2 linked regions of the Caenorhabditis elegans genome follow. The protein of the gene in region 1 interacts with the protein of each later gene in a biochemical or structural test. Each region holds a gene or a part of one and is shown on either strand. Other genes may lie near its edges.

Evidence for each region.
Region 2: the proteins of ift-74 (region 1) and ift-81 form a complex in vitro, tested with the Caenorhabditis elegans proteins (one study listed by BioGRID).

Annotation. Positions count from the first base shown.
Region 1 is NC_003280.10:6,678,035-6,681,964, forward strand, and holds the start of ift-74 (Intraflagellar transport protein 74 homolog), read left to right. Parts: upstream 1-2,021; 5' UTR 2,022-2,099; coding exon 2,100-2,190; intron 2,191-2,269; coding exon 2,270-2,451; intron 2,452-2,609; coding exon 2,610-2,715; intron 2,716-2,764; coding exon 2,765-3,051; intron 3,052-3,105; coding exon 3,106-3,613; intron 3,614-3,930. Other genes in the region: H43E16.1 (VWFA domain-containing protein), read left to right, coding at 1-568, 613-752, 810-887, 935-1,006, 1,053-1,257.
Region 2 is NC_003284.9:5,296,380-5,300,309, reverse strand, and holds the start of ift-81 (Intraflagellar transport protein 81 homolog), read right to left. Parts: upstream 1,750-3,930; 5' UTR 1,679-1,749; intron 1,646-1,678; 5' UTR 1,615-1,645; intron 1,584-1,614; 5' UTR 1,561-1,583; coding exon 1,430-1,560; intron 837-1,429; coding exon 717-836; intron 660-716; coding exon 536-659; intron 264-535; coding exon 183-263; intron 96-182; coding exon 1-95. Other genes in the region: ags-3 (Tetratricopeptide repeat protein 28), read left to right, coding at 2,284-2,356, 2,412-2,562, 2,610-2,745, 3,353-3,498, 3,547-3,670.

The sequences.
Region 1 (3,930 bases):
AAATTCTAATACTGGATCTACTGGATCAACTGTAACTAACCCTCCAGTATCTTCAAGCACATCTGGATCATCATCAACTCAGCCGATCGCATCATCAACAGCAAACCCAGGATCATCTACCAGTGGAACAACAGTAGTAACTACCCAAGGATCGTCCTCAACTCAAACAAATCCTAATACTGGATCTACAGGATCAACTGTAACTCAGCCATCGGCATTTTCAAGCACTTCTGCATCATCATCAACTCAACCGATTGCATCATCAACTACAGCAAACCCAGGATCATCTACCAGTGGACCAACAATTGCAAGTACGCAGGGATCATCTTCAACTCAAACAAATTCAAACACTGGATCGACCACTGTAGCTACTACTGTAACACAAGGATCCTCAACTGAAGGGAACACTGGGTCAACTACTGTAAATTCTCAAAGCAGTAGTGTTGCATCAACAGTAGCATCCAGTACATCTAACATTGTCTCATCCACTTCCCAAGCTCCAACATGTGCTTCTCCGTACAGTGGAAAGATTGCAACTGTTTTTGAATTGAGTGCAAACAGTGCGACGGTAAGAACAATCGTTTTGCCAATTTTTAAGTTTTAAATTTCCAGAATGTTGTAAACTTTGTGACCAATAATTTGTACAACTCAGTCAACTATGATTTTACTTCAACTACACAAGCAATCAATGTACCATATGGACAAACCGACAGTTATCCTACCAATAAATTTTTACAATATGGTGGGGCAAAGTATGTTTAATTTATTTTTGTTTTTGTTCAAATAACATAGCACGGCAAATATTTCAGGAGTTTAACGAATCTTCAAGACAACATATCTGATTTATTAGATAGTGCTATTTTGATGATGGATTCCACAATTTCCGAGTGAGTAAAACATTTATCAAAGTTCTGATTGATTAATGTATTTGCAGCGGGCTTCAATGGCTTCATGCTAATAGAGATCCAGCTGGAACAAATGCAGTTATCATTATTGTTGGAAACCAGTAAGATTTGTGAATTTTCAAATTTTTTATCAATCTACAATTTCAGCGATGATGAAAACCCCGCAATGACTACATTCACTCTTCGAGACCTCAGAGCACAAGGATATAAAGTGATTTCGGTAGCTGTTGGTGAAGGTCATGGAGATTTTTCCCTAATTCCGGATAAACAAGAATGGTATTTCCAAGTAAACGATTCAAATGGACAAAATATTGCTGATCAGATCTCATCTATTCTTTGCAACTTGAAATAATCATCTCCCCACTGATATCTTTCCTTACTGTGCAAGTTTACCCATTTCTTTCAGAAATAAATATATTACCTATAACAGAGCGCTTGATTGGTTTAAATGTGTCGCTAAAGGTTTCTCTAAACTTGGAAATTTTGCAGGAAATCATCTTTTATTGCGTCGATTATTTTATACACGACACCAAAAAAAAACATAAATAAAAAGCAAAGTAAGTTTTCATTAAATTCCTTAATTAATCAAAAACTTTAATTTTTCAGAAGTATATCTGATCTTCAGAGTAATATTGATACTCTTTCCACCAATGCTGTCTTATCGACAGACACTACAATTTCAGAGTAAGATATACATTTTTCGATAAACAAAATTGTTTAACTTTTTTCAGTGGTCTCAAGTGGCTTAGCGAGAGTTATCCGGACGGAACAAATACTGTTACCATTGTCGTTGGATACCAGTAAGATTATTTATATTACACGCCGTCTTCAAATATATATTTCAGTGTTGATGATAACAATGGAATGACATTACTCTATCTTAAGACTTTGAGAGATCAAGGTTATAAAGTTATAACGGTAGCTGCTGGTGTAGGACATGGAGATTTATCTGGAATTGCTGACAAACCAGAATGGTCTTTCCAAGTTAATAATTTCTTTCAACTATGTGGGTTCAATAAAAATATTACATGTTTCCATGGAAACGGTGTTCGTATTCTAGAGCGCACTTTCTCACATATTCCATAGCTGGAGTGTGCTTGTTTCTATGACAACTAAACACGCATCAACCACAAATACGTTATTCTAATCGCTTCTATTCACACAAAAGAGGTATTCATCTGAAAAATAAGAAGAATGGAACGCCCATCAACTGCATCTTCTCGTCCTCGAACCTCCACCGGAAGAGCACCGTCGGCACGGGCTAGACCTCCATCTGCAATGAGAGGTAATAGGGAAATTGTATTTTTCTTACCAAATCTATGTAGAAAAATAATAATTTTCGTTACCTAAAATAAAATTTGTAGCTCCTCCACCACAACCAACATACGAAAATCGTCCAACGACTGGAATGTCAATGAGAAACGGAGGGCCTCCTGTTCCTCCATCACGAAGTGGTATGATTCCAGTACCTCCGTCTAGATCTGGTGGACCTCCTGCACCGATGCCTGTGTCAAGAGCTGGGGGACCTCCAAGAGCACCTACTTCTGTAAGTATAGCTATAAAGCATCAAGAAAATCTACCTATCGGAAATAGATTTCCAAAATAAATTTCTAAAAACAACACTGACTGAACTTTAATTTTAATTGAGATTTAGATAGCACAATAGTAAATACATATTTTTCAAAATTTTTAATACATTTCCAGATGGGTGGACGCCCAATGACTGGAATGGCAAGACCTCCAACAGCCGGATTGAGACCAGTTACTCAACAAGGATTACGAGCTCCTCCGTCAAGAATGGGAACTGGAAGTATGTATATTCTAGACTCCATTCTAAATTTTAATCAAACATTTTCCAGACTCCCGTCAAGTATTTGACAAATCATACTACATCGGAGTTCTTCGAGCGAAACAAAACGCTATAAAAGTTGAAATATCTCGTATGAAAGAGAAACGAGATAAAGGAATAAAAGATCGAAATGAGCTACATGCATATGAATCAAGAGCATCTGCTCAAGCACAAGAGATTAGTGATTTGCAAGGAAAATTATTGGATTTGAATAAAATAATGGAAAAAATTCATTTGAATGGCGATATGTCGGATATTGAGTTAGAAGCAAGCAAAATGAAGGAACAAGCTGATGAGGTTAGATTACTGTAGATGAAAGATCACTTTAAGTTATAATTTATATAATTATAGATGAGATCATTAGCTGAAGAAGTATTTAATGAACGTCGTGCAAAAGAAGAGGAACTTCAAGGATTGGAAATAGAAGTTGAAGAACAAAAAAAGTTAAATGAAGCAGTAACACATGCAATGGATCCTCAAATGAAAGAAAAATATGAAGATTTAAAGTCTGAAGCGAAGCTTTTAAGAGAAAGAGTTGTAGAAATGGAAGCGAAAAATGAAGATTTAGATGATAGAATTTCAAAATATGAAATTGAAATTCGAAGTAATCCACTGAAAAAGAAGGCAATCCAACTACAAGAAACATTGGATACACTCAAAAAACAAGAGGAAAAACTAATGGAAGATATGCAAAGTGCACTAACACCAGAAGCATGGAGAGATAAAATGTCAGAAAATATGAAACAATTGAACGCAGATTTGGTTGTGATTGAGAAACAACACAAAACTGTTAAAGATCAAATTTCATTGGCTTCAGAAGAATTACACGAGTATGACTCACAAGGAGAAGCTCAAATCAGTACGTTTCCTTTTTTTGATAAGAAACTATTGTGCATTTGTGTTTGGTATTTGGTATTTGAAATGACGTATCTATTAAATATGTCATTGTTTTACCGCAAATAATTCTTCATGGAATTGTGCGTACACGGTCTTATAGGTGGAGTAGAGTTTGTTTTATATGATAGATAATGAACCTAAGTTGGCAAGGTTGAAGTGGCTTATGTAATTTTAATACATTTTAGAGCTGTAAAAATTTTAAGCACTACAGTCCATTTTCAATCATTTGAAACAAAATACCCACAGACACTAATCAATACATTCAATATGGCAATACAA
Region 2 (3,930 bases), on another chromosome or scaffold:
ATTTGTTTTTCTTTTTCCATTGACTTTAAATCCTCTTTTATGTCATCAAGCAAGAGTACGTCTGCCATTATTCCTTTCATTTCAGCATGGATTTCCTGTAGAAAAGTTGTTTTGTTTTTTTTTGTTTTTGCTTTTTTTTTGCTCATCCACTATCGTGACGACTAATCTCTCATGTGATTAACCTTAAACTCCATTGTCAACTCTCCAATCTCATTTTGCAGCTCTTCAATATCATAATCGAAGAATTCTCCAGGTACATCTGTCTGAAAATAATTAATTTACGTATTTCCAATTACAAAAAAGTGCGAAGCTGTTTAGCCATTTCTTGATTCATTAATTCAATGTGTACCTAGATCAGAGACTAACTAAACCAAAAACTTCGGCTGTCTTGCCTACTATATCAGCTATTCAAGCAGAACGATGCTTGTTCTCTATGTATCATTTTTCTTTTAAAAAAAATAATGACAACATCTATTTCTCTCCCCCCAGAAACCACTAGCATAACATGTCGGCTTTTGGCATAGCAATTCATTACCTTCATCAAATATTTTGACAAATATGCGCGCTCTTTCAAACCTTCTGAGTTTTCAAAAAGAAAAACCAGAAGAGGATAGAGGCTAGTCTTGCGACCTTCGACAATCCCTGCACGCCATTCTTCCCTGTAATATAATGTCAAATTAGATGCTGTTTAGTGATTGCCCTCGTTTTGCACGAACTGTTCATCCTGGTCTTGCGGTGGTCTGTAGCGGAGAATTCGGAGCATATTCAGAATACGAATTGCAGTCTCTTCAGCAGCCTCTCTTTTGATATCAATTCGGTCCGTGTCGGAAACCCAGCTGAACATTTTAAAAATTTTCGTTGTTCTTATATTATTAAATTCAATTTTATCAGTGAGAGCATTTATGTGTTTGTAAAAAATTTATTCAAATTTTTCTTAATTTTTTTATGACTTTTGAAATTTTGCAAACAAATAAGAAAGAACCGAATTTTTTGAACATTCTACCCAAGTGGACCTGCTGATACCCCTTTTCTTTATTGTTGTGTCAAATTTTTTTTAAATTTACACAGCAATCTATAAAATAATTACTTTCAATAGAAAGTTTAAGAAGATTGCTCAAAAACTGACATTAGTATCAGTTTGCCAACCAGCAAATTTAACACGCACATTGTAACTTTGTGCCTTTTTTTGAGCAACATCCAAAAGTACAATTAAAGGTAAAGCTATTTTTAGAAATTAAAAAAATTTATTTATATTTCTTTGAAAAATTCTTGAAAAAATAACGATACAATAATAATAAAGTAGCTGTTTTTTAATTGTCACAAAAAATGTAGCACACGTTTCTGGAAAATTTTTGTGAATATTTTAAACACCATAACTGTTTTTTCTCGATATCGCATTTTTTAAATTTCTTTTTTTGACTTAACCAACCTCAAAACATTACTCAAAATTTGGAGCAACTGCTGCGGTGGTAATTGGTCGAATTGAAGTGATGATAAGTTGAGATTGAACGGCTCTTCATTCAAAAAGTGGAGAATAAACCCTTGAATATCGTTCGACATCTTAAGGATACACCGTTAGTGATGACAATAAACGCGAGCTCGTCGAGCAGCGCTCCCGGTTACCAGGGCAACACGACGTAAATATATGTTGTTGCTGGGCTCTTTGCTATGTGAGTGTGAAATGTTTCAAGTAGTATTGAAAAGGGAACAGAAGTTGAACAAGTTGAATCAGTTTGTTGGTAATTAACTGTGGTTAGAGATTTGTTTTGAGTGAGTGGTAATTAAATGTGAACTTTTGATACTCTAAGGTAATAATTTATATTTTTCATATGAGAGTTTTTTTTTGAGTAATGTATCTTTTAAGACTATCAGTTTATATTCCTTTGTCATTTTAAATTAACAAATATTTTGCTCGAAACAATACTTCCTAGCCGTCTTTACACAAATGACGTCAACGCGCGGTTACTAGCTCATCTGTCGTGAGGAGTGAACGAGAGAGCTGCCGCAGACATAGCAAGGACGTTTCTTTCCATGTACTGAGAGCGGCCGTGCAACGAACAAACAGAGGAGTTTGTTGGTCCGTACTCGTTCGAATAAATCATTCAAATACCTTTTTTTCTACATTGACCACCCTTTCTGTTCTGAAAGACCACATTTCGATTCTTCTTTCTCAATCTTAATCGCTTGTGTTTCTCTCCTTTTTTCTAGTATTGTGCAGATTTCTGAAATCTTTGTCATCGAAGAATATCAATCGATTTTTTTTTTGCAGCGGGGAAAGGTGCGATGCAGGACCGTTCCTGCTACAAGCTCACACAGGAAGGGGAACGTCTTTTTCGCATGCAAAAGTATGAGAAAGGTAACTTCTTTTTTATTATTATTTGTAAATAATTGATTGAATTTGAATATTTCAGGCATCGACTTGTTGAAAAAAGCGTTGGAAGTAGGCACAGATGATTTTTCATTACTCTCGGCTATCTATTGTCAGCTCGGAAATGCACACACAATGCTTAAAGATTATGAGCAAGCTCTCAAGTTCCATACGTATGACATTCTTGTTGAAAGGTAACGAATGCGAAAGAAATTTAAACAAAAAATAAACAAAATTTCAGATTGCTTGGAAACAAGGAGGGAGAAGCAAAGTCGTGTGCCAACTTGGGAAATATATTCAAGATGAAAGGCGCTTACAACGACGCGCTCACCTTCACATTCAAACAGCTGGATTTTGCCGAAGAGTTGGGCGATAGAGTGAGTAGAACTTGATTTTGTACTTGAAAAAAAAATGCACCCGTTGCTATACCAACAGGAGATTTATTATTTTCGTGCTAGCAAACATGTACAAAGTTCCATCTTAAATTTTCTTCGAAGTTTCCAACATAAACCATAGTTACAAGGAAAGTATTTCAGCCTACAATGAGACTTCTGAATGAAATCTATGTCATTTGAAAGGGGACCTGCAAACTAGGTTACCACAAAAAATTTAGCGGCAGAAGAGCACGTTGAACTACCATAAAAACCATCTGAAAAGGATCAATATTTAATAGAGCTGTGAAATTGCATCCAATGTTGATTTTTGCGAACTTCTAGTGGTTTTCGGAAAGTTTACAGGTATGCAAACATTCTGGAAGCTTGAAACATTTCTCGATCGAGTTGGGTGAAAAAGTTTCAGATGTTTTCAAATAAAAATGTATATTCCAAAAGATTCCAGAATGCTTGCCTAGAAACTTGTTAGAAGCAGCTGTGAATATTGCTATGAAATATTTCAGCTTTTCAAAATAAGGCACAACGCAATTATTCAAGAATGAAACTCCTAATTGCATTCAGATAATTTACACTTTCCATTTAAAAAATTCAGGTTCTCAAATCTCGAGCTTATTACAACATTGCGACGATTTATGTGGAGCGAGGGCGATGCACAAAACTGGAAGCTGCTGAAGAGAAAAATGACGCCAAAAATGCAGAAGCCACTTCGGATTTTGAGAATGCTGCCAAGTACTTTATGTGAGTTCATTACTTCAATCTTCCTAATAAAGATTTTAAAATTTGCAGGCTAAATCTGGAGATGTCGGAAAAATCGGAAGATGCGCTGACGATGGGGCGATGCTACGGCAGCTTAGGAAATACTTATTATTGCCTTGGAGACTATGACCAATCTATCCACTTTCATAAACTTGTGAGTTTTTATTGAAAATACGTAAGAACCCTTTTTCGGAACGGATGTGATGATGCAATGTCGCGTGGTTTGTGGTTCAAACCGGAAATCTAGTTTTTTTTTTGCCTTCAACGCGTAGATCAAAAGTTTATGAGGATATTTTTATTTCTATTTTACCTTTTAAGGCCAATCTCGTTTTCCAAGTTTCAAGCTTAGGAGTTTTTTACTTTCACCACGTGATTATCGAGTTTCCGAAACCTAATGCTCATTTCCGATCACAT